Macaca mulatta: one gene and its partners. The protein of the gene in region 6 interacts with the protein of the main gene of each other region in a pairwise test. Links are inferred from orthologs where the notes say so. Each region holds a gene or a part of one and is shown on either strand. Other genes may lie near its edges.

Region 1 (3,500 bases), on a different chromosome or scaffold from region 6:
TCCCAGGAGAAGCAGCACCTTCCAAAGCCTCCAACCACCACCCCAGATTGCCCAAGACTTGCAGGGATTCCCAGAACACAAGACTAAGCCTGGGAAATCCCCAGGCAAACTGAGAGAGTTTTCACCCTACATCGACATCAATGGCACTTGTGACAAGCAGACTCCTTCTGACTCACCTTCTGGAGCTAACGGGGAAAGGCAAGGCAGCCCAAGTTGTGTGACACAGCTCAGAAATCAGAGTAGGCCTTGGCCCCCAGCTCCTTCCCCAGTCCACTGAGGCACAAGCACACACACACACACACACACACACATAGCTCACACACATAGACACACACAGATTGACACAGAGACTTACACATGCACACAGATACACACACATACATGCATACAGACAGATATAGGCACACAGACACACACAGATAGACACAGAGACATACACACGGCACACACAGATATACACACATACATGCATACAGACATACACAGACACACACAGATACACACAGACATACACATATATACATATATACATGGATACAGACACACACAGACACACACAGACACACATACATGTACATAGGTACACATGCACACAGATATACACACACAGGAATACAAAGATACATGCACATAGACACACACAGACACACACAGAGAGGCACAGACACACACACAGAGACACACATTAGATACACACACATACACATGCACAGACATGTAAGCACCACATACACACATATGCACACAGATACACACATGCATACACACAGACACACATATAGACATACGCAGACACACAGACACACATAGACATACCCACATGCAGACACACACAGACACACACACATATAGACATGGGCAGACACACACACACTCACACACCTCCCTCTGTTGTCAGCTCCTCCCAGTCCCTCACCCTGGGTCTGGCCTGGCCATGGTTAGTGGAGCTCCCCTCGCAGCCAGAAGAGTGTAACGGAGACTCACTGTGTACCTTTGATGCTGTAAAATGAAAACACTAATCTTCTGAAGTATGATATTGATCACAGCTACATTTATAACCTGACTATTCTTGAAAATTACATATCTGAGGCGAAGAAACACAATGTGAGACGGATTCCGGAATGGACATGGGTTCACTGGGTGGTTTTGTGTTGAGTGCTGTTGAGGGCTGCAGACAAAATAGACAGGGAGAAACGTCAGGCCGGCCTGTCCACAGGGAGATGGAAGCCGCATTAAACACTGTGATCTGGCCTCATATTTGGGCTTGTAAGAAGGACTATGGAAAATTCCAAGGGCAGCCCGGTGCTGGGAAGAGAAGGGATCAGGCCATCTCCCGCCAGGAGGATGTGGTGTCAGGTTTCCCCTGTGGTCTGATGTGGTCAATGGCACTGGGAAGGTCTTCAAGCCCAGGAAGCAGCCTGGCCAGGGCAGTGGGCAACACCAAGCCCAGATGCCAGGAGAGGCTGTGTCTGGCTAGAGGATGGTAGTTGGAGCCCCATGGGCAAGGCTGTCGGGCCAGCACCTGTCGGGCTCTGTGGGCAGGCTGAACCCTTGAGAGGGATTCTCCAGGTGACAGAGAGCCTGCGGCCTCAGGGGTGGGAGTTGCATCAGAAAGAGGGTCCTACAGCCACATGGGGGGCATCACGGAGGCCAGGCCAGGGGCTGTGCAGGCTCAGGTCCTCCAGGGAGCAGACCCCAAGGCAGAATTCCAAGTGCAGGAGACACACAGGGGAGAGACTGCTGGTGAAGGCAAAAGAGGAGGAGAGGGTTGGAGGCAGGGCAGAGCCTCAGTCCTTAGAGGAGGCCCCTGTGGAACCTGACTCAGTGCTCAGCCGTGGACAAGACGGCAGCACCACAGCTGGAAGTGCAGCTGAGTCCCCCTCACTACAGGCTCTAAGCAGTGCCTGGGCAGCCCTGGAGTCTTCTAGAAACCTCCAGAAGCCAAATCATGCAGACCTGAGCAACGCAGTGGGCCATGGGACTGAGGAAAGGGCCTGGCAGGTGACGAGCACATGCGGTGGAGGGAGGGGATGCAGTTCAAGGACCAGGGGATTTCTAACCTGGGCACCTAAAGGAGACTCCATTCCGCAAAGAAACTTACCTGAAATATTTGAAAAACCGAGGTCCAGGTATAGAACAAATCCATAACCTCAGACACACAGGGACGCAATAAATTATGTTACAGTGCTTTATTTATGTTACAGTGCTTCACTTGAATTGCTTTATTTATGTTACAGTGCTTCACTTGAATTGCTGCCTGATTGTTATTAATTAAATCAATAGATGACTTCTGATGAGAGGTGTGGAAACACAGGCTCTGTCTCTGTCCCCTTAGTGTGAAGACCAGAGGGTGGAGTGCCTGTACGAGGCACTGAAGAGGGCTGGAGACAGGCTCCTGGGCTCCTTCCCCACGGCCGTGCCCCTGGCTCTCCATTCCTCCATCAGCTACCTCGGCTTCTTCGTCAACGGCAGCCCTGCAGACATCATCCGGGAATTCGCGATGACCTTCGCCACGGAAGCATCTCTCTTAGCAGGTGGGCAGCCCTGACCAGTGGCAAACACAGGGCCGGGTTCACAGCGAGTGAGCTCTGTGCAGCAGGCATGAGCTCCTGGCACATGGATTTCCATGGGTGGGTTCCAGGGGAGCAGAGCCCAGCAGCAACGGTGGGATGGCTGGGTGGGCTTTCTTCCAGGCTCAGTGGCTGCACCTGTCCTCACCCAGGCACTTCCAGTTCCCACTTCTGGATTTTCAGCCAGGTGCCTGGACATGGCCTTAACCTGAGGCTGAACAATTAAACTAGCGCCTCCCTTCGTGAGCCACTACATCCTTCAAAAATGTAAGCCGTTAGAAAGCTTCCGGACCAGCTTTGGTCTTCTCTTTAGGCGGGAATAACCTTTATTCGCATTATGTGGTTTTTCAAATGCTTAGCTGTATGCCAACAGCCTGGGAAAGTGCCCCAGAAGGGTGTGCCAAGCATCAAGCCTGAGTGGGTGACCGTGATGGGGTTGGAGGCTGGGGCACATAGGGAGTCAGGGCCTCCCCCGCTCGGCCTCGAGTGGGAGACACACAAGTCCTACATGACTTATTTCTGTATTTTCAGTATGAGCTTAGTGCTCTCTCCTTGGCCTCTCCGGGGAAAGATTATGTAGACTCATATTGAGAATCATCAAAATTCCCTTCTCTCCAAACACCAGCCCTGGTCTGGAGACCAAAGCTACCACTGGGGTTTAGTGGAAAGGATTGTGGACTTGATGTCAGAAGATGTGATTTTTTTCTGTGTCCCTGATGAGTGGCGTGACCTTAATCAAGTCATGTCCACTGTCTCTGTCTCTTTTTCTTTCTCTACAAAACAATGAGGGCTCTCACTCTTCAAGAACAATGTTGCCTGAGTCTGTGGCCCATCCCACCATAGTTCCCAGGATACAGAAGGCACTCAGTATTGCCGTGATTTGTCAACTCTAAAATCTGATGAGGCTGCAGTGCCTTGGTGGGAGGGCTC
Region 2 (2,848 bases), on a different chromosome or scaffold from region 6:
TTTCCATTAAAAAAAAAAGTAGGAGCACTCAAAACATAAAAATCCTATACTTACAAAAAATGACTATGGTGTGAGTTGAGAACAAGTAAAAATTACGTTCCTTGGATCAAGTAAGGGACAACAGAATGCCCCATACTCTCATCCAGGCATTCACACCTGCAATCCCAGCACTTTGGGAAGCTGAAACAGGAGGATAGCTTGAGACTAGGAGTTCAAGGCTACAGTGAGCTATGATTGGGCCACTGCACTCCAGCATGGGTGACAAAGCCAGACTCTGTCTCAATAAATAAAAACAAAACAAAAAGATAAAAACTCTCATTACTTAAGATTTTAAGACAATCAGTACAACTCAAAACCAATGATTTAGCTACAAATTTTAACTTTCATGCAAACCCCAAACAACCCTAAAATGTGTTATTTGGAAGTTACTTTTAGAACCATCAAAATTCAAAGATACTATTTAAAAATCCAGAAATAAAAACAAATTTGAATCATACATATTTTCAGTATCATTTAATTCTTTAATACTTTGGGGACATTTCCTTTTCCTTTAACAAAAAGAATAGAAGTGATACTATATACTGCTAGCAGAAAATTAAGAGCTTTTCTATAAAATCCTATGAAATTAAAATTAAATCAAGTCTTATTTTTAAAAATGCAAAAGAAGCCAGATAATAGACTTAACGACCATGAAGCAGACCCACTTCCCTCTGAACCAAGGATTTCCTATGCTTTCTAGATATCCCTTCAGAAAAGGCCTTCTCTAAATTAACTGAACAATTTGGAATATCAAGAAGTAGGTAGAGAGCAGGAATGTGAGCAGATCATCGAATAGATGTTTTTACTCCATGATGACTAAAATGAAGTCCATAGAAGCAGGTGAGGAAAAAAATAACACAATCTCCTGATGTGCAGCTGTCACAGACCCAGAGCAGTCTGCTGCTGTGACTCTCTGCCTGCGACCTGAGGGTCAGGTGCTTCATTAGATGCAGTGGAAATAAAACTGAACGGGATCTGAAGAGAAATTTTAAAATGGAAGGTACACCTCAACAGCTTTTACTTTTGGTGAAGTCATATGGCTTCCACCACTGAGCAAACTGCAGTGCTTTTTTCCTCTGATCCTCAAAGCTTTCTCGGATGCCTTTCCTCCAAAGTCTTGGTTCTATATCCAGCATCCCACCTATGATTTCCTTTTAAAGAAAGAGAAAAGCACAAACACAAGCATGTATAAATAATGAAAACATAAACTACTTCTGTTTATTCTGCTATAAAATATAACAAGTAGTTCTCCATGACAATGTTCAAGCATAAATACTAGTTGAAGTTAAAAAAATGTTTTCAATTAATTCTAACTATGCAAACCGTGTGATTCTAAGAGTCCAAGATAGCCGCACCTCCTATCAAGCAATTTGTCCATTTTGCTGCTTATTAGCACATCTACTAAATGGTAAAAAAGGGGAGGCAGAAAAAGTGAAATTTAATTAATTTGATCTCTATTAGAGGCTCCGGTAAACAATTCTGCAAAAATGTTAATCAACTTGTAGCAATTATTAACTTTATTGCTCAACTGCAGGTGAAACCCAGGCTAATGTTCTCTCTCTGCTACCAAGTATATTTATAAATTAGTTTCTTCCACTATTAGCAGGAAATCTTTTTTTCAGGAAACAAAATCCTATTGTAATACTAGTCTAAGTAAACCTATCGATAGAATTAAAAATTATATATTACTTTCATTTAAAAAATCACATTCTCAAGTCCTGTAATAAATGGCTTTTTGGTTATCTGCGTATTATTTTTGATTTCCTTCATGATCCTCTTCCTGTGCTGTTAGCTATAGAAATAAATCAAATTTAGTCATGTGAGTATCCATGTAAGAAAGACATGGGGGAGACTCCTAATGCTTACATGCTTAGAGGGAGGGCAGTATGGTAACAAAGAAAAAAAAAACACAAAAAACAAAACAACAACAACAAAAAACAGACTAAGGATCAAATTCTGCGTAGTCAGTCTAGCTCCACTGGACTGTGTGGTGAAATCCTGCACAAAGCACATAATCTTTCAGATGCAGGTTCTTCATCTTACTTGGGGACCTACTATGCAGAAGCAAATGGCATTTATGTTGTAGGGGCTACAGAGATAATACACAGTTGTCTTCAGACAGAATAGAATCTGGAGCTGTGGTGGGAGCCGTAATAATCCAGCTATGCAACAGACTGTCTCATAAAGTAGAAGGTAAGTGCCAAAGCAGACCATTTGGAGACTCAAAAACAAAACAAAACAAAAATCTAGTTGTTGGATAGACCAAGAGATGCTTCATGGAAAAGGGAATCTCCTATCATCAGGGAAGGGAAATAAAGGGGTCAACAGAGATAGTAGAAAAGAGAAATGGGGCAAATTTAGATTTAGTTCGAGAGCTTCTCAGCATTGGTCCAAATAAACAATGTAGTTTAAGAAAGCCTAGCTTATAAAAGTTTACCTAAAATTGTCTATAAAATACCAAGGTTTGTCTTATCTGTACCATATAAGCTTGACTCTTGTTCTGTTATCAAAGCAGCTGTTAATGGAAAGACTGCCCCCCTAATCTCTTCTAGCTCTCTGAACAACTGCTTCAGCAGCAGACTGCAGGGAGGTCTCGAGCCCACAGGCTATTTCTTAAAAAGCAAATTTTGAGGAAAATGGCTCAGTGACACAATGCTGACAGAGAAAATTTACTTTTAACTCCAAAACTGTATCATATAAACCAGAATGCATGAATAATATGTGAAGAGAGGGCAATCTCCCAGTTTAATATATACAACTTTTAAAAACTGGATATTTTAACTTTCTTTTTTCTTGGACCAAGTTTTTT
Region 3 (4,070 bases), on a different chromosome or scaffold from region 6:
CTCTGCCACTTAAAGCTGTTTGTGACCTCAAGCAAGTTACTTAGCCTGTCCAAGTCTTGATTTTTGAACTGATAAAATGAGAGATAAATGCGAGGATCACATGCAAAGCTCCCATCACAATGCTGGCATACAGTAGTAATCAAGAAATGTTAATTCTAGACGTCAATTCTTCCTACATGACACATGAATTTTCCCTAAAGAAAACTGATGATGACAAAACAGACCCCTACAATGATCCCCACACCAAGTCACATCCATAAGGCTCTTGTTACCTTGGCTGAAGCTGGCCCCTTCCAGTTCAAGTATTGCTCTAGTTCTGTGCCCTTAGCCCGGGCCCTGGAGGAGTCAAACACTTTCCTCTTGGAACCCTGTATCCTGCTGCAGATGTTGGAGTGTCTCTCCAGCCTGAACAAGAGGAATTTTCGCCCACAGTGGCTGCACTCACCCAGCTGTGGCTCTTCAGTGGAGCCGCTGGAACCTGAGGAGTCTGGTGCCATGGACAGGCTGGAATTTCTGGCAGATCCCTGCAAAGCACCGCCTGGTGTTTCTGAAGGCGGGGAGAACTTCTCCATCGACGGCTCTGAGACTCGGTCTCGAATTTTGTTATTGCTTGCTACCAGCCTTTCCCTTTTGAGTCTCTGAATTCTATAATCAGAGAGCTGGAATGGACTCGAATTTTGTTGAGACCGTTCCCAAGTTTCATCCTCTCTCCTGTCTCTACTAAATTCTTCCTCAAAATCAAATTCTGGGGAGAAGACAGCTTTGTGCGTGGTGTTGCTGTTATTACCTTTAACTCTGCTCCTGGGGAATATAATTTTCTGTAGCTCTCTGTTTTCATTTTCCTTGGCCTGCTCCTTTTGCGTCTGGATCCTTCTGAGTTCCTCCTCTGTCTTCTTCAGCTTTCCCCTCAGGAGAATCTGCTTTCTTCGGATTTCCTCCTCTAAGCTCTCCCCTGCAGCTTCTAGTCTTCGGATCTGCACCCACTCCATCCTGTCCAAGTTTGCCAAGGCCTTCTCCGCCTGCATGGCAGCAAGAACAGGATCAACCACAGAAAAGTTGACCTGGTTCCTCACATCAAAGTTCCTGGATGAAAACTCTCTCAGTTCAGGGGGCCTTGGGTAGACATTCTGGTCCCCATCAGTGCCAGACTCACCTGTACTGCACGACTTCCTGTGGACCACGGGTTTCAGTGGGTACGCCCGGTCCACTCCAACTCGTTTCTTTGTAAAGGGGATAAAGTCCTGGTTATTGGCTTTGGGATACCAGGATTGAGGGCCTGATGAGTAAATTTGTTTTACTTGGCCCTGGAAATCACTTCCTGCATCTTGGTGGCTGATTCCAGTACAGTGGGGATAGGAGTAGCTCCGGGCTTTTGTGTTCCATTTGGGGTGAGTGTGGACTTTATCCAGAGTCAACTCTTTGTTGCTCAAAAGCTGCTTCTGGAAATTGTTCCTCAGGTGCCCCTTCAAGGACTGCTGGGAAGAGTCACTTTGTTCGTAAGAGTCTTGCTTGGCTGAGTGGGGCCCTGGAGCTTCTGTTGTATTATGTGGAAGCATAACGCCCACAGGCAGATGTGATGCCAACCGCTGGAGACCAGCCATTCAGGGCCTGGACTGATGCCTACGGGAGATTTAAACCAGATACATGCGAAGAGTTTGTCTGAGGTTCACTCTCGTCTGCTAAAGCAAACTATTTCTACATTTGCCCTGCCCACATTTCCTTAAACTTTTCTGGGGACAGTGGTGCTGGATCTGCCAAAGCTTCCCTTCAAAAACCATTTGGTGAGTGATTACTATGCACAAGACACTGTGTTAGGCCCTGAGGGTAGAGAAACGGAGGTGCTACAGGTGTTCCTGCCACCTAGCTCTCCTCTCCTCCAGCACCAGCCTCTGCCACGCACAGTATACTCTACAGTAAGTGGAAAGAGCATCGGATTGAAAGTCAGGTTTTAGGCCTGTAACAGGACAAGCGACTTCTCCCTTGCTGGCCCCCGTTTCTTCACCTGTAAACTGAAGGGTTCCGTCCGAGTCCATCCTCACCATTTTACAGGTGAGCAAGCTGTGGCCCAGAGGTAGTGACTGGCACAAAGAGCTCTCAGGGCTTCCCTCCTGCTGGAACCGTGCTTGATTCAAAAGAGCACAGAGGCTGCTAGGGCCTGGAGCAGGTGCCTGGCTGTCAAACCCTCATCTCAGGAGTCCCCGTGGCGCAGACGGTAAAAGTTTTGTAACCTGAGCGTTGAGGGCCACCTGACCTGGCTGCAGCCGGTTTTAGATCCTTAAGGCTGAAGTCACGTTCTGTCCCGAAGGGTCAACTGGGGCGCCCCCACTACGGACTCCGCCTCTGGGGACAAGTCCTCTCTCTCTCCTGCCCTTCGGGCCCTTAGGAGGTGCTGACCCTCTGTCTCCCCGCCCTTCTGCGTACCTGAGGCCCTCGGGCACCGCTCCTGCTCAGGGAAAACCCCAGGGCCTAGTTTCCCAGACCCGACCTCCCCCTCAACCGACGGCCGCGCAGGCGCTCTCAGCTAGCTTCTGTTATTCCCGGTGCCTGGAGACCGAGTTACTGGCGGGCCAAGCTCCGCCCCTCGCTGCGAACTCCTTGGGGAGGCGTGCGCAGGCGCAGTGCACCAGCGACCCGGGGCGACCGGGGGTGGGGGGTGCGGTCAGCCCGACCGTCACTTGACCCAGTCAGTGTCCGGCCAACTCTGCAGCCGGGTCCAGCCCTGCCCTTGGGGAGCCGAGGAAGGGCGGGAGAGGCTTTTCTGGGGCTCCATCAAAGAAGAACTTGTACTTTCCTGAGAACGATGCTCCCAGACCTTGGGGTGTGCCCTTCACTGGCAAAGGGCGGAGGCCCTGGCTGTGCCTCCGCGTGCTTCCGCCGCAGGGTGCAGGCGACCGCCTGCCTGGTGGGAGCGGGGCTGCTGCTGACCTTTCTCGGCGCGCTTGGCTGCGCTGGGCGGGCCCCAGGTATGGCTGCACGTGCGCGCTCCCTGCTTGTCGTCGCCAAGTCTTTGGAACTTGCTGCCAACGTTTTTGCTACGCAGTATCTTTCCGGGGTAATTTTTGTGGCCAATCTAATTATTTTGATATTATAATGTTTTACTCTCACGTGGTAACTCTAGCCGTCTGTACTTAGGGCGTAGGAATGACTCAGCCAAGTGTAATGATAATAAAGAACTACCAGATCGAAAATAATCAGTATAACCTGGTTTCAACAGTAAATGATACTCTGTAACTTGTTGACATCAAAAGAAAGTTTATTTTTTTTTCTTCGTTTCAGTTCATCTGTGTAGGACGTTGGGAACAGGCAGTTCGCTTTTTCCCTGTAACTACTCAATTCATGCACTTGGAAAATAATGTAGACAAGCAGTCATCAGTGTTAATACTTCAACATGTCATATTACAGCTGTTACCTGTTACAAAGAAATTCCTTGGTGGACCCTCCAGGTCAGTCCTTCTTTTTTTTTCTTTTCTTTTTCTTTTTTTTTTTTTTTTTTTAATTCCTCGTTTTCATCCCTTGTTGCCTGCACCACCTCTACATATATGCAGCTCCAGATGTTTGCCACTCTACTCAGGGTCCCAATTATCAACTCCCGCAGCTTCCCTCAGCAGAATGTACGGGCTTTCTCTTTCTCTCTCTCTCTCCTCTTCCTTCTCTCCCTTTCTTCTCTGTCTCTGTCTGTCTCTGTCTCTGTCTGTCTCTCTCCCTCTCTCCTTCCCTCTCCTCTATGAGAAAGAAGGGCCACTTTCCATGAGTTCTCTTGAATTAGTGCTTTTCAGTACCCTCCGGGAATTGACTCCATCACTTTACCCCAGCGTTTTGTTTTTGTTTTCTGTTTTGTTGGTTTTGAGGGTTTTTTAAAATTTGTTTGTTTTTTGAGACAGAATCTCACCCTGTTGCCCAGGCTGGAGTGCAGTGGCGCAATCTCAGCTCACTGCCACCTCCGCCTCCTGGGTTCAAGTGATTCTCCTGCCTCAGCCTCCCGAGTAGCTGAGATTACAGGCGTCTGCCACCACACCTGGCTAATTTTTTGTATTTTTAGTAGAGATGGAGTTTCACCATGTTAGCCAGGC
Region 4 (4,223 bases), on a different chromosome or scaffold from region 6:
GCAAAATCCTGTCTCTACTAAAAACACCAAAAACTAGCTGGGCATGGTGGCACATGCCTGTGATCCCAGCTACTCAGGAGGTTGAGGTGGGAGAATTGCTTGAGCCCAGGAGGCAAGGGTTGCAGTGAATCGAGATCACGCCACTGCACTCCAGCCTGGATGACAGAGCGAGACCCCATCTCAAAAAAACAAGATAAATAAATAAAATAAAGGAGAGTAGCATTCTTACCCTTTGATAGCCCATTCTTCTAACTGTGCTGGGTGGCATTCCTGAAGAGGATTCTCTAAGCAGTGTCCAGGTAACCCACTCTTCCCTGAAGTCCTCAGCCACATTATCAAGGGTCATCAGTTCCTAAAGCAAGAGACCTCGATATGCATCAGTAGCTCCCTAGGTATTCTCACCATTGTCTGAAAGCCAAAAAATGGCCATCAGTGTACACAAACAACCCCCCACACCTGATCAGAATGGTCCTGAGGTAAATTCTGTCAACCACAGAGGGTTGCTTTTCTTAGTCTGTTTTTACATACATCTTCTCCTGGCCAACTTTCCCATTACTAAGAGAGGCCTAGGCCTCCCAAACACATGGACAGAACCCAGTCTTTTAGATACATTAACTTTTTGAGGAAAAAATTGTCCACGATGAACAAGGTAAACAAAGGAGAGAGTTGGTAGGTACAATTTGATTTCTGGAAAGCTTTTGATTCTCCCCAACTTCATTTTCCTCAGCAACCAAGGAAATTGTGGACTTAACTATACTCATATTAGTTATGAGAACAGCTGACTTCTTGGCTTGCAGATTTGGGGTCAACCTCAAGGGACAGATTATGCAGAACCCCAAAGAGAACTGTGTTGGATACCACTCTATTTCAAGATCTTAATGGAGTCAGAAATAAGACTGAAAAAGACATGTTTTTTTTTTTTTAAAAAAAGACATGGATAGGTTGTAAAAATAAGTGAAAGTCAATGGGGATAAGCACAAAACACAACTCTTAGAGGCTGAAACCAATCATTAATATATTAATAAATTGACAGCAATATCATGAAAAACATTACTTTTTGGAGGATAGTCAGAGTCAACTACTGGATGGATCAGTAATTTATTCAACAATCAATATGTTGCCAGGCATAGGAGTCACAAAGAAATTAAGATAATGTTTTTTCCCTTAAAAACTTTCCAATACACCAGCCTCAGCAACATATTGAGACCCCTTTCTCTACAAAGAACTTTTAAAAATCAGCCAGGCATGGTGGCATGCACTTGTGGTCCCAGCTACTCAGGAGGCTGAGGTGGGAGGATCACTTCAGCCCAGGAGTTCAAGGCTGCAGTGAGCTATGATGGCGCCACTGCACTCCATGCACTCCAGCCTAGCAACAGAGTGAGCCCCTGTCTCTCCCTTAAAAAAAAAAAAAAAAAATTCAGCCAGCATGACCACCCACTACAAAGAATATTGCATTTCACGGGAGGAAGGACCAGACTAGGGTGAAGAAGTTTTACTCTTTCACATCTTTTGTCCCACTACAAAGCACCTATTTACTACTGGAACACAGATACAGACACAGACACACACACACACACACACACACACACACTTTTGGGGAAAATATTTATGTATTTACAGACATTATTATTGGTCATTTATAAAGTATTGAGTTTTTAAGGATCTAAAAACCATTGCTCTGGTTTAAAACTTTAACAAACAACAATAATGTAATTAGAAAGTAAAAATGGTAATAACAGTTTTCAGTATTGGTCGGGCGCTGTGGCTCATGACTGTAATCCCAGCACTTTGGGAGAACGAGATGGGCAGATCACCTGGGGTCAGGAGTTCGAGATCAACCTGGCCAACATGGTGAAACCCTGTCTCTACTAAGAATACAAAATTAGCCGGGTGTGGTGGCGCACACCTGTAATCCCAACTACTCGGGAGGCTGCGGCAGGAGAATCGCTTGAACCCGGGAGGCAGAGACTACAGTGAAGGGAGATAGCACCGTTGCATTCCAGCCTGGGCAACAAGAGCGAAATCCCCTCTAAAAAAAAAAAAAAAAAAAAGTAGAAGAAGAAAAAGGAAAAAAAAAAAAGAGCTTTTAGTATAATTTTTATTTCTACATTCATTACAAAACACAGCTGCAGGGCCCCCTTGCTGGAGACTTCTTAGCCACGGTTATAGAAACCCTGTTTCCCAGCCCGTCCCTTTCCCCATGCGCAGATGACCTCAAAGGCCCTACAGCTCTGAGGGGCTGTGACTAAGTGCCATTGTGAGAATCTCCAGTGCGTTCACCGGGTTTATTAATAGGAACATGACTGCACGCGTGGGGCTGAACCCCGTTCTTCTTCTCGGTGCTGGGGCCCTAACCAGGGTGCGGCGGTCAGAGGGTGGCAGATCAGCTGAAACCCGGGGACCACCATCGAGAAGCAAGAAAACTCATTAAGAGAATGACTTATCTCGACGACGGTATAGAGACCACAGCTACCTCTCCCACACCCCAGCAAGACCCGGGGGCTCCCAAAGGCCAGCGTGGGAACCCCTCTGAGAAAACGTCTGGGTGGCGGGCGAGCCCCCTCCACGCCTCTCAGCAGCGCGCCGCTGCCGCCGCAGTCTCCCTCCTTGGATCACTCACCGCCCCAGGGCCCAGCTGGGGATGGAGCAGGAAGTGAGTCCTCCACCGCCGAGCCGCACCCGGCCCGCAACCCCGAGGCGGTCCCTCCCAGAACCCGACCGGGATTCGTGACAGGGCTGTGGGGACACAGGTGGGACTCAGGCTTCGACAGCTCGCAGCCGGAAAGTACCGCCCCTGTCCTCTTGCTATTGGCTTTTTAGTTTCCATGGCTAGAATGTTTCTCTGTCCATAGGCTGACAGAGCTATCAATTACCGCCTAGCCTTCTGGGAAACGTAGTCCCGAGCAAGACCTCAAAGGACTCGGAGCCTTGGATATCCAGTTCCAAGCGTTGAAAAGTGCTAAACCCAATTCCCCAGCTACCGGCCCCCAGGAACCGCCTGTTTGGAGCCTAGGGATCTAAATGCCGTACCCTCAGTGTGGCATCTGCTGATGTGAATCTCCTGGCCTCACCCACCTACCGCGGAGCAGCCTGGTGCCCAACGTGAGGTCTCCCGCGCTCTGGCACCTCGCCCCTCCCCAGCGCAGAGCAGCTCAGCCCTCTGGCCTTTGCAGCCTCTCTTCTGCCCAGTCTTCCACCTCACACCCGGCGGCCGGAGCCTGCAGAGTGTTTGCGGAGGCCGGGTCCCAGACCAACTCAAACTGGACATAAGGAAGGCCCAGCAGACGCCCTTAGGAGAAAACAGACATTCCGTATCCTTCCCTTGGCATCAAACTCCCAGGCGCATCCCCTTTCCGTCTGGTTGATAGCCAGAGGAGGCGGGCGAGGGCATCAAGTATTCTGGGAAATGTGATATTGGGCTTCAAACTGGGGAGGCTCCTGGGTCTCATGTGAAAGCCAGTGGTCACTTTGGGTCGGCCCCTAGCTAAAAAATAATGTCTTTCCTTAAAGTGAAGAAAATGTGCCTGTCTACTCCGTTTGTTGATTCAGTGTAATTTAGAAAAAGAAAGACCATTTTGTGATGTACTATAAAACGCTTAGAATTGCTAGCCATAGAGTTAATGTTGAAGATCCCTTTGATGCTAATTCCACCATTCCTTCAACAAAAATAGGGTGCATTTTCCAGTGGATATTTATTGGGAACATTCTATACTCAAGATCGTTCTGGGAACTGTGGTTACTCGGGAATCATACATAACCATTACCTTCATGAAGTTTACAGGCCAAAAGGGGAGATAAACCATAAAAGGTATCAAAATCCTAAGTAGGCCGGGCGCGGTGGCTCAAGCCTGTAATCCCAGCACTTTGGGAGGCCGAGACGGGCGGATCACGAGGTCAGGAGTTCGAGATCATCCTGGCTAACACGGTGAAACCCCGTCTCTACAAAAAAATACAAAAAACTAGCCGGGCGAGGTGGCGGGCGCCTGTAGTCCCGGCTACTCGGGAGGCTGAGGCAGGAGAATGGCGTAAAAACCCGGGAGGCAGAGCTTGCAGTGAGCTGAGATCCGGCCACTGCACTCCAGCCTGGGCGACACAGTGAGACTCCGTCTCAAAAAAAAAAAAAAAAAATCCTAAGTAATATTTTGTCTTTTTTTTTTTCATATAGCCAGTTGCATCTTAGTTATTTTGCTACAATTGTAGTCATCTGCAAGATAACTACATTG
Region 5 (3,500 bases), on a different chromosome or scaffold from region 6:
CATAGTTAGTACTAGTTAATGATTCAAAGCTCAGTCATCTTGTCATCACTTTCTACACTGAAGATATGGCAAATAATGGGTGTTAGATGGGAGGAATATATATTTGAAAATAAACTATGAAACTCACCTACAAAAAAAAATCAAAGAAGAAATGCATGCTAAGTTTGGTATATAATTGTAGTAACCTTCTATTTTAGGCAGGCTTCTTGAATATAGTTGAATTTCTTTTACCACGAATCCTCCAAAATACCAAAACATTATTGAAACGAATCATAACAGGAAATATCTCTAATTCTTAATTGATATTCTGTTAAATATTGTCATAGGCTTTTGATGTTTTGTATATAATTATATTCACCTTTAAAAACTTTTAAAGTTTATATTGAAATATATTCTTTATTCAGCTATTTGGCAAAAAGAATAATTTTTCCACAAAAATATGATACTGCAACTTAAAAAAAAACCCTGTGCCACTGAATATTTTCTGCTTCTCAATTTCTTTATACTGATTAAAAGATAATGACATATTGTCCATAAGGTATATCAGAAAGCGCACCATTTATAGAATAAAAAGGCTATTACACAGGGGGAGGGTAAAATAAAGCACATTAATTGGCCCTCCAATTCACAACAAAGTCTCTATATTTATAAAAATCCAGCTAATTATATTTCATAACATTTTTATGATAGGGTACCTCACGTTTCAGTTTCACAAAATATATTAACATTACAAAATAACCATTCATTCAACAAATATTTACTAAGCACCTAATGTGTGTGTCAGGTACTGTTCTAGGCACAAAGGATAGAGCAGTGAACAAAACAGACAAAAATATCTGCCCGCAAGGAACATGAAGACACACCACAAAGTTGCATGACAAAAAGTAAAACAAAAAGGAGGAATTCTTTATTGGGTTTTAAAAGGCCAAGTGTTAACTATCTCTTTAACTCCCCATATGTAATATTCTACATAAGAACAAAGAATGGAAATCCAGCCCTGGAATCTCTTACCTTAAATCTAAGCAACCACTTAATGCATAAATGGAGCAAATAAAAGAGGTAAGGAAAAAAAGCATTGAAAGGTTAGTTGAAACTTCAGGATGTGAAGAGAAAGGAAAAAAAGAAAAAACAAGTTAAGCATTCAGCATTAACAAAATAATGTTTCAGTAGATCATAGAAAGAGTGGTTAAAGCAGAATGTGTCATGAACAGAAGTTTCTTTGATGAATTTAAGACATTGTTTTATTCAAAAATTTAATTTTATTAAAGATTTCTTCAAATTAATGACCCTTAAACACGGAAAGTCAAAAAATGAAGGGGCTAGAATCCTAAAAGAAAAACATTTTACTTTGAGAATTATAAGAATGGGGGATGTAAACATATGAATTATATATATAAAAAAAATCAGATTACTTTTTTCTTACATAATTGGGCAAACAGAAATATCACACTTTATATTCTAAGTATCTTTTTGGCATTAGATTCTGGCAGTATTCTAAAATATTCCATTAGCAGTTGTTAGCCTTGAATAAATTTTCCCAAGTTAGAATAAATTTCAGTTATTAACTAACCATCCAATTACACATCTTATTTTAACATGCTCTTATTAGTAATCTAAATGCATGTAGGTATTGGCTATAAAATTAAATATTGGGCAGGCACAATGTAATCCTGTACACCTGTAATCCCAACATTTTGGGAGACCAAGATGGGAAGATCACTTGAGGACGGGAGTTCATGACCATCCTGGACAACACAGACAGGCCCTGTCACTACAAACAAAAAATTTAGCTCAGCACAGTGGCATGTGCCTGTAGTCCCAGGGAAGCTGACACGGGAAGATCATCTGAGCCCAGGAGTTCAAGGTTGGAGTAAGCTATGATTGTGCCACTGCACTCCAACCTAGGTGACAGAGTGAGACCTTGTCTCAGAAAAGTTAAATTAAATACCATATTCCAGATAATAGTGCTTGATCAAAACTCTGAAGAGAGATTTTAAAAATAAATTTACAGTGTATATTTTCTTTTTACCTAGATCTACATTAAATTTAGATTTAACTGATTTCCATCCATAACAGTGTGTGTTTTTTAAGTATGCTTATATTAGAAAAAAAATCAACTACATGAACTGTACAGTATCATTATAAGCATGTACGTATGTATATTTATTTACTCATATCTGATAAGTCACTGTCTTTCAAACTACTGATCAGATGTAAGTTGATACTCAGCTAAAGCTCTGAATCATTAGGTTCAAATATCAATTTAAATGAAATTTCCATGTTTTAGGCACCCAAATACATCTTAAAAGACAGTCAAAATATGTAATAGCTATACACTCAAAAGCAGTGGCAATATTAATTCACCTAACACTATTTTTGCCCAAGATGTTGGGATAAAATTATTTTAGAAAAATTCAAACTACATGTTTATTAATATATGTTGTTTTTGAAAACTAATGCCAAAAGTCTGCTGATAAGGTAAACACTTTCATAATAACATGATGAATGATTTTTTAATCAGCCATATTAAATTAAAATGGGAAAGATTACACTACACTTATTTACTCAAACCATAGGAGGTATTATCATCACTAAGCAAATACAATTCATTCAAAGATGATTGTTTAAAACTTGAGAATACAGCACTAAGAAAAAGCAAAAAGGGTAAAACAGTTATAGTAGCAAGGAATCTTCACGACAACTGGGCCAAGACTTTGTCCTCTAGGAAGGAAAGATAGATAAAAAGCTTAATTTTCTCAAGAGTTAGTTTCATTATGGGTTACTACTTTTAAAAGCTTGAAAAAAATTATACCTACCTTCACTCCATGTCCAATATCATCTAGAATTGTATAGTCAATAGGTTTTCTAATATAACGAACTGGTCGTTCAAGGTTGGCTGGAGCAATAATCTTATGCGTCCTTGAAGTGTTTTTATTGGTAGTCAAAATACCAATTTCTCTTCTTGCAACTTTCTCTTTATGAATATCAACTGTCTGCAAAATATAAAGTAAAAAACACAAAAATGTACAGTTCTAATATCCACAAAAATCAAAATATATATGCCTAGAGATTTAATATTGCTACTCATATTCTAAACTATGCTTGCTAAATTTTATTCTTCTGGACTACTGACTTCCTCCATTTTCAGGTTAAAGCAAGGGCTGGTAAACCATGGCCAAATCTGGTCCATCACCTGATTTTTACAGCCCACAAGCTAAGAGTAGTGTTAACATTTTTTAATGTTTGGATAAAAGAACAACAACAACAAAAACCCTTCACGTGAAAATTATATAAAATTCAAATTTCCTTTTCCATAAGTAAAGTTTTATTGGAATACAACCATGCTGCTTACTTGCTTATTTGTCTAGACTTTACACTGTAATGGCAGAGATGAGCCACAACAGAGACGGCATGGCCCACAAAAACTGAAGTATATATTAGCTGGCTCCCTTACAGAAAAGGTTTGCCAACCCCTGGGTTAAAGCACGCTAACTTTGTCC
Region 6 (3,500 bases):
CCCCATGGATACATCCCCTTTCTCTCCTTTTTCAGCATCTTCAAGAGGATAAGTCACTTCCTTAATTCCCACAACCCAGAGGCCAAGTGCAACTGGTCACCCACAACCCCTACTTGGATGCCTAGCGCCATCCCAATTGCCTCCTCCACCATCTCTACCAGCATCCCTTCCAGTCTGCACGGGGCAGTCCTCCTGGGCTTGACCTCTCTGTACCCACCACTGGGGACCAGGCAGCCCCCCTGTATCCCTCCCAGCACCCCATCCCTCTCCACGTACACGACAGATCCCCCAAGTGCTGAGAATCAAGCTCCCACCTGCCCACAGCACGCCCACAGACAGGGTCCCTGGATGGCAGCTCAGGTGGACTGAGACACTTGAGTCATCACTCAGGAGGTCCCTCTGGGATCTGGGCAGGTGACTGCCCCATGTGGCAGGACATCCCCACCCATCTTAGACTGATCAGGGTCAGTCTAGAAGAGCAACCCTCTGAGCTGGGCATGGTGGCTCGAGCCTGTAATCCCAGCTACACAGGAGGCTGAGGTGGGAAGACTGCTTGAGCCCAGGAGTTCAAGGTCAGCCTGGGCAGCATAGGAGACCTCGCCTCATAAAAACCAAAAAACAAAACAAGCCTCTGGCCAAAGATACCTTGTCTGTGGGGCCTTCCCTTTCCTGTCTGAGTCTCAGTTTTCCTCCAGCAGCCTGAGGAAACTCAAAGGCACAGTTCCCAGATACCCTGAGAGAACCTCCAGCTCTGGCAACAGTTTCCATAACAACAGGTATCAGGGATGTGGAGGGCGATGTAGTAGGTCCCCCCCCACCCTCCTCCCCTTCTCTCCTTCCTCCTCATTCTAACCCAAGCTGCTGGCTATGCCCCTCCAGACTGCCCCTTGGGGGTGAGTTTCTTGTTAGTTGGAGTTTCTGGGTGCTGGGTGGGTGCCGTCTGGCAGGCCTAATACTGACGGAGCCTAGGGCAGCAAGCTGGCCTAGGGATAGAGGAGGGAGGGGAGCAGCTGGGGTGGCGGGGAGCTCAGGTGTGGGGAAATGCACCAGCAGAGGCGGAGCAACTATCCTGCTTCTGCTCGGGCTCCTCATGAGATGGGGCAGAGGCCACCAGGTGGGTCCTGCCTCACATCACATCCTTGTGCTCCTGCTTGGACTCCTTAATGACCTGCAGGGGACAGGGAACATGCACAGTGCAACAGTTAGGAGTTCACGCAGACCCCAGGTCCACCACCATGAAGCTGTGTAACCTTGGGCAAGTCCCCCGCTTCCCAGGTCTTTCTTTTCTTGACAGTAACCACAGCTGCCTTGCGTGGTGGTCAGAGTGGGTGGTGAGATAACACTGGGAAAGCATTTAGCATCGTGCCTGGCACGTAGTAAGCTGCTGCAGTAAGATGAGCTCCCACTGTGGTTGAAGTGGCCTGGGGGATACGCCAAATCCCCTCTTCCCATTCCCCTGGTAGTTTCCTTTTACTAAGCTGGAAATGGAAAGCCGTCCCCATCTCCAACTGTCTCCGCTAGAGTTGGAAGTGAAAGCTGCTAACCTTAATTCTCTTTTTATCCCTGGCAAGCCAGGCCCCCGGGTTTGAGGGTGAGAAAGAGACAGCGTGTGTTGGGACCCAATCTAGTGGCTTTGGTACCAAGGCTGCCCTTAGAACAGCCTATGGAGGGACTGAGGAAACGGAATTACATTCAGGTTCCTTGCTCTCCTCCAGAATTCCTTAGGGGGCTCCTGGGAGTTACTGGGGACCTTCTATGTGCCAGTCCCAGGCTTTCCTCCACGGCCTGGCCTTGAAAATCCCTGGGGCCAGCCAGAGCCTGACTGGGCCTGAATCCCTCCGTACCTCTCCATCCCGCATCTCCACGGTCTTCACCACGATGTTCCTCTTGAGGTGGCCTTCTGACACAGACTTGGTGTCCAGGCTGGTTTCTGCAGATGTGAGGAGAAGAGGCCTCTCATGGACTTTCAGGGCGTGAGTCATCCTCTCCCATGCCCAGCTTCCCCATCGCACCCCCCCATCATGAGTATGAGAACCTATGCAACTGGGCAGAGAGAGCCTAGGCTCTTCCAAACGGGCTGGAGAGCCCCCAAATCCCAATAGTGCTGCTGCCCAAGTCCTGGCTGCTCTGTCCAGTTTGAGTCCTGGCTGCTCTGTCTTCTGGCCTGGCTTCATTTTAGCCCCTCTGCAAGCCCTGGCCTGGCACCTGGGTTTCTGAAAATCCAGCACGGCATCGAGGAAGGACATACAGGCTTTGAAATCAGGAGACCAGGCGGGGCGTGGTGGCTCACGCCTGTAATGCCAGCACTTTGGGAGGCCAAGACGGATGGATCACCTGAGGCCAGGAGTCTGAGACTACCCTGGCCAACATGGTGAAACCTCTACTAAAAATACAAAAAATAGGCCAGGCATGGTAGCTCACACCTGTAATCCCAGCACTTTGGGAAACCTAGGCAGGTGGATCGCCTGAGGTCAGGAGTTCGAGACCAGCCTGACCAATATGGTGAAACCCTGTCTCTACTAAAAATACAAAAATTAGCCGGGTATAGTGACGGGTGCCTGTAGTTCCAGCTACTCAGGAGGCTGACACAGGAGAATCACTTGAACCTGGGAGGCGGAGGTTGCAGTGAGCTGAGATCACACCACTGCACTCCAGTCTGAGCAACAGAGTAAGACTCTGTTTCAAAAAAAAAAAAGAAGAAGAAAAGAAAAAAGAAAGAAAGAAAGAAAAATTAGCCAGGTGTGGTGGCTCACACCTGTAATCCCCACTACTCAGGAGATTGAGGCCCAAGAATTGCTTGAACCTGGGAGGTGGAGGTTGCAGTGAGTCAAGATTGCACCACTGTACTCCAGCCTGGGTGACAGAGGGATGCTCTGTGGAAGGAAGGAAGGGGAGGGGAGGGAAGGAATCAGGAGACCAGAGCTCAAGAAGTCCCAACTTGGCCGGGCACGGTGGCTCAAGCCTGTAATCCCAGCACTTTGGGAGGCCGAGACAGGTGGATCACGAGGTCAGGAGATCGAGACCATCCTGGCTAACACGGTGAAACCCCGTCTCTACTAAAAAATACAAAAAAAACCTAGCCAGGCGAGGTGGCGGGCGCCTATAGTCCCAGCTACTCGGGAGGCTGAGGCAGGAGAATGGCGTAAACCCGGGAAGCAGAGCTTGCAGTGAACTGAGATTCAGCCACTGCACTCCAGCCTGGGCGACAGAGTGAGACTCCGTCTCAAAAAAAAAAAAAAAAAGAAGTCCCAACTTAGCCACCAACCAGCCACATGACTCTGGGCAAGTTAATTGACCTCTCCCAGCCTCAGGTTCCTCATCTGTAAAATAAGGATGATGGGGCCTATTTCTGTAGGTGGGAGAGAGGAGACAATTAACTAAAATAAAGGCTGTTAAACATATGGCAGATATTAGCGCTCAATACACATAGGTCCCTTTCCTGTCCCCTTTCCTCTTTCCTACTTCTCTCTGCCACTTATCTGTACCTTAGTGACCTGCGA
Region 7 (3,500 bases), on a different chromosome or scaffold from region 6:
CCAAGATTCAGAGCTAAGGGACAGGACTGGGTCTCATCCTTCTCCATAATCAGGCATAATCAGGCAGCCCATCAGGGTCTCTGTCAGGGCTGGTGATGTGACCAGGGAAGCAGGCAGAGACTGGGATCCCAGGGAGGCCAGAGAGCCTTGGGAAGCCGTAGTGGGCTCATCCTCCCCTCCGGTCATCGAGCCCGGGGTCTCGGAGTACGTATACCTGGCTCTTGTTGAAGTCTTTCACAGATGCACAAACCGCCTTTCTGGTGGTGCCTTCCAGCTTCTGTAGGTGCTTGGCTGCCTCATCAAACTGCAGCCTTGTCTCTGTGTAGAGGGCCTCTGAAAGGAAGCAAGAAGCAATCAGACCAAGCTGGCCACGGGAGCGCCTTCCCTCTGACATGTGGCCTTTCATGCCTTTGCCTCCTACCACGTCCTTACCCATGAGGACAGGAACAATAACGAAAGGACCTGCCTCTGAGGCTGTGGGAGAGTCAAGCTCCCAGAGGAGTGCTAGTGATCACCACTATGCTGGGGTCCTGGGACAGGCTGGTGGTGTGCCCCTTGCTGTCCTGCTCTATCCGGAGGCAGCTACATCCTTACAGTGGGCAAGAGGTACTCTACAGCCCCAGGAAATGACGTTTGAGACCTGCAGGACAAACAAAGTGGGTTGGGAGCAGATGCAGAGGTTTTGGGAAAGAATTCAGTGGAATCCAGAAGTGAAAGAACAAGAAACCCCACAGGACTCTACGGAGGAAGTGGGGCCAGATGCCAGATATTGTGGGGTGACAGGAGGACTTGGTTAGGCCAGTGAGGAAGAGAAAGAGGAAGAGGAGGAGGTGAAGGGGTCAAGGTAGAAGGTCCAAACAGAAAAATGTGAAGATTTGGAGTCAAAGAGAGCAGGCTCACATCCCAGCTCAGATATTTCCTAGCTGTTAACCTCAACTATTACTTAGCCTCGCTGAGCCTGTGTCCATACCTGTGAAGCAGGACACACTTCCTTCGCAGAATTATTATTATTATTATTATTTGAGACGGAGTCTCGCTGCGTCGCCCAGGCTGGAGTGCAGTGGCGCATCTCAGCTCACTGCAACCTTTGCCTCCTGGGTTCCAGCGATTCTCCTGCCTCAGCCTCCGGGGTAGCTGGGATTACAGGTGTGCACCACCACGCCCAGTTCATCTTGTATTTTTGGTAGAGACAGGGTTTCACCATGTTGGTCAGGCTGCTCTTGAACTCCTGACCTCAGGTGATCCGCCTGCCTTGGCCTCCCAAAGTGTTGGGATTCCAGGCGTGAGCTACTGCGCCTGGCTTGCAGAACTATTAGGTTAAAAAAAAGTCATCGATCAGGTTTCTTCATTCAAGTATTTGTGCCCTGTGGGTCTCCTCACTGCCTCCAGAAACAAAGACCAAACTCTCATCTTCGATTCTGGCCTCTGAACAGTCAGTCAGCCTCACCTCTCACCGTCCATTTGTTCATTCATCCATTTAACATAGAGCCATGGAGAGCCGAGCATGGGGGTCCCACTTTGCTGGGCACAGGATACATAATGGGGAGTAAGACAGAAAGGGCTTTTCCTGCCTTCCTGGAACTTGCTGCCTAGGAGAGGAGACATCAACCAACACAGGAATCCAGAATAAATGTATTAATGCCAACTGTAGCAGTGACAGGGAGGCAAGGACGGAGAGACCAAGAGGAAACATGCTGGGGGTGCCTGGCTGAGGCGGCTGAGGTTAGGGAGGAGGGTAGGGGATTGCTCCTCTGGGAGCAAATGCCGGTCGAAGAAGTGGGTTGGGAGCAGGTGCAGAGGTTCTGGGCTGGGAAGGGATACAGTGGAATCCAGAAGTGAAAAAGGAAGATGGCAGGAACACAGCAAGCAGAGGGGGCGGAGTCGACAGTGGAGAGGTGGGCGGGGCCCAGCATGCAGAGCCCGTGGGCTGCAGGAGGATTCTGCATCTCTTTCCAAGTGCTTGGGAAGCCATTAGTGGGCTTGAAGCTGGGATCGACGGGGTAGGGTGATGCTGTCCAACCCCGCATTTTTGTTTTTCTTTTTTTGAGACGAGTTTTGCTCTTGTTGCCCTGACTGGAGTGCAGTGGCAGAGTCTCGGCTCACTGCAACCTCCACCTCCCGGGTTCAAGTGATTCTCCTGCCTCAGCCTGCCAAGCAGCTGGGATTATAGGCACATGCCACCACACCTAGCTAATTTTTGTATTTTTAGTAGAGACAGGGTTTCACCATGTTGGCCAGGCTTGTCTCAAACTCCTGACCTCAGATGATCCACCCACCTTGGCCTCCCAAAGTGCTGGGATTACAGGCATGAGCCATCGTACCTGGCTGAACCCCACATTGTTTAAAAGTATCCCTGACTGCTGTGTTGGGAATGGATCAGAGAGGGGCAAGAAAGGCAGTGGAGGCCATCAGAAAGATCTCGGCAGAGGTCTGTCCAGCTGAGGTGGTGGCTTGCATCACAAGGGTGACAGCAGGGATGAAGACAAGCGGACAGTTCAAAATATATGCAGGAGGTAGAAGGGACAAGAGTTAGAGATGGCCTGGAGACGGAGGCGGGTCATGGATGATCCCCTAGACTTCTGGTTTAAGGGCAAGAGGTACCAGTGAGTGGGAGGAGAAAGATGGACAAAGGAGCAGATGCAGAAGAGGATCTAGGGCTGCTTTCCAATATGTTGTGAGGGGTCCCGTGAGATGTCAAGGAGACCACTGAAGAACCAAGCACACAGCTGAAACAAAGCCTTTTGGCCAGAGGTGGAAATGTAGACCACTTGGGAGATGGATGAACCATACAACATGTCAGTGATCAAGGCTATGGAGAAAAATAAAGCAAGGGGATAGGGAATGTGGGGTGGGAAGAGGGTACAGGGTTTAAAATAGGGGGTCGGGGAGGCCTCACCGATAAGACAGCATTTTAGCACAGCCCTGGAGGAGGACAGTGGTGATCCCTACAGATATCTGGGGAAAGACATTTCTTTTCTTTTTTTTTTTTTTTGAGACGGAGTCTTGCTCTGTGCCCCAGGCTGGAGTGCAGTGGCACGATCTCGGCTCACTGCAAGCTCCGCCCCCCGGGTTCACCCCATTCTCCTGCCTCAGCCTCCCAAGTAGCTGGGACCACAGGCGCCCACCACCACGCCTGGCTAGTTTTTTGTATTTTTTTAGTAGAGACGGGGTTTCACAATGTTAGCCAGGATGGTCTCGATCTCCTGACCTTGTGATCCGCCTGCCTCGGCCTCCCAAAGTGCTGGGATTACAGGCTTGAGCCACCGCGCCCGGCCAGGGAAAGACATTTCTAAGCAGAGGGAACAGCACATGCAAAAGCTCCAAGACGGAAGTGAGCCTGATGCACTCATGTCTGAAAACAGCAAGACAGTGTGGAAAGAATGGAGTGAGAGGGCATCATAGCAGGAGATAAGGCCAGACTGTGAAGGCATTATAGGTCCCTGAAAAAAATCGTTTACTCTGAGTGCAATGGGGAGCTACTGTAGGATAAGGGGAGAGAC

The links.
Region 1: the proteins of GFAP (region 6) and UBASH3A interact in binary tests that used the Homo sapiens proteins (3 or more experiments, as listed by UniProt). The link is inferred for Macaca mulatta from reciprocal best matches to the Homo sapiens genes GFAP and UBASH3A.
Region 2: the proteins of GFAP (region 6) and CWF19L2 interact in binary tests that used the Homo sapiens proteins (3 or more experiments, as listed by UniProt). The link is inferred for Macaca mulatta from reciprocal best matches to the Homo sapiens genes GFAP and CWF19L2.
Region 3: the proteins of GFAP (region 6) and ZC2HC1C interact in binary tests that used the Homo sapiens proteins (3 or more experiments, as listed by UniProt). The link is inferred for Macaca mulatta from reciprocal best matches to the Homo sapiens genes GFAP and ZC2HC1C.
Region 4: the proteins of GFAP (region 6) and ZNF774 interact in a two-hybrid assay, tested with the Homo sapiens proteins (2 studies listed by BioGRID and IntAct). The link is inferred for Macaca mulatta from reciprocal best matches to the Homo sapiens genes GFAP and ZNF774.
Region 5: the proteins of GFAP (region 6) and ABI2 interact in binary tests that used the Homo sapiens proteins (3 or more experiments, as listed by UniProt). The link is inferred for Macaca mulatta from reciprocal best matches to the Homo sapiens genes GFAP and ABI2.
Region 7: the proteins of GFAP (region 6) and RIBC2 interact in a two-hybrid assay, tested with the Homo sapiens proteins (2 studies listed by BioGRID and IntAct). The two-hybrid records come from large-scale screens. The link is inferred for Macaca mulatta from reciprocal best matches to the Homo sapiens genes GFAP and RIBC2.

What each region holds. Positions count from the first base shown.
Region 1 is NC_133408.1:5,072,780-5,076,279, reverse strand, and holds part of UBASH3A (ubiquitin-associated and SH3 domain-containing protein A), read left to right. Parts: intron 1-2,335; coding exon 2,336-2,534; intron 2,535-3,500. UniProt on the Homo sapiens protein: Interferes with CBL-mediated down-regulation and degradation of receptor-type tyrosine kinases. Promotes accumulation of activated target receptors, such as T-cell receptors, EGFR and PDGFRB, on the cell surface.
Region 2 is NC_133419.1:108,185,253-108,188,100, forward strand, and holds the end of CWF19L2 (CWF19-like protein 2), read right to left. Parts: intron 1,191-2,848; coding exon 1,047-1,190; 3' UTR 501-1,046; downstream 1-500.
Region 3 is NC_133412.1:148,262,535-148,266,604, reverse strand, and holds the start of ZC2HC1C (zinc finger C2HC domain-containing protein 1C), read right to left. Parts: upstream 2,801-4,070; 5' UTR 2,422-2,800; exon of another isoform or gene 2,003-2,421; intron 1,621-2,002; 5' UTR 1,602-1,620; coding exon 273-1,601; intron 1-272. Other genes in the region: ACYP1 (acylphosphatase-1), read left to right, coding at 2,801-2,963.
Region 4 is NC_133412.1:80,237,159-80,241,381, reverse strand, and holds the start of ZNF774 (zinc finger protein 774), read right to left. Parts: upstream 2,801-4,223; 5' UTR 2,621-2,800; intron 353-2,620; 5' UTR 334-352; coding exon 230-333; intron 1-229.
Region 5 is NC_133417.1:108,607,966-108,611,465, reverse strand, and holds part of ABI2 (abl interactor 2), read right to left. Parts: intron 2,994-3,500; coding exon 2,817-2,993; intron 1-2,816. UniProt on the Homo sapiens protein: Regulator of actin cytoskeleton dynamics underlying cell motility and adhesion. Functions as a component of the WAVE complex, which activates actin nucleating machinery Arp2/3 to drive lamellipodia formation.
Region 6 is NC_133421.1:69,280,095-69,283,594, forward strand, and holds part of GFAP (glial fibrillary acidic protein), read right to left. Parts: intron 1,964-3,500; exon of another isoform or gene 1,931-1,963; coding exon 1,845-1,930; intron 1,169-1,844; coding exon 1,127-1,168; 3' UTR 1-1,126.
Region 7 is NC_133415.1:6,058,497-6,061,996, forward strand, and holds part of RIBC2 (RIB43A-like with coiled-coils protein 2), read right to left. Parts: intron 334-3,500; coding exon 215-333; intron 1-214. UniProt on the Homo sapiens protein: Microtubule inner protein (MIP) part of the dynein-decorated doublet microtubules (DMTs) in cilia axoneme, which is required for motile cilia beating.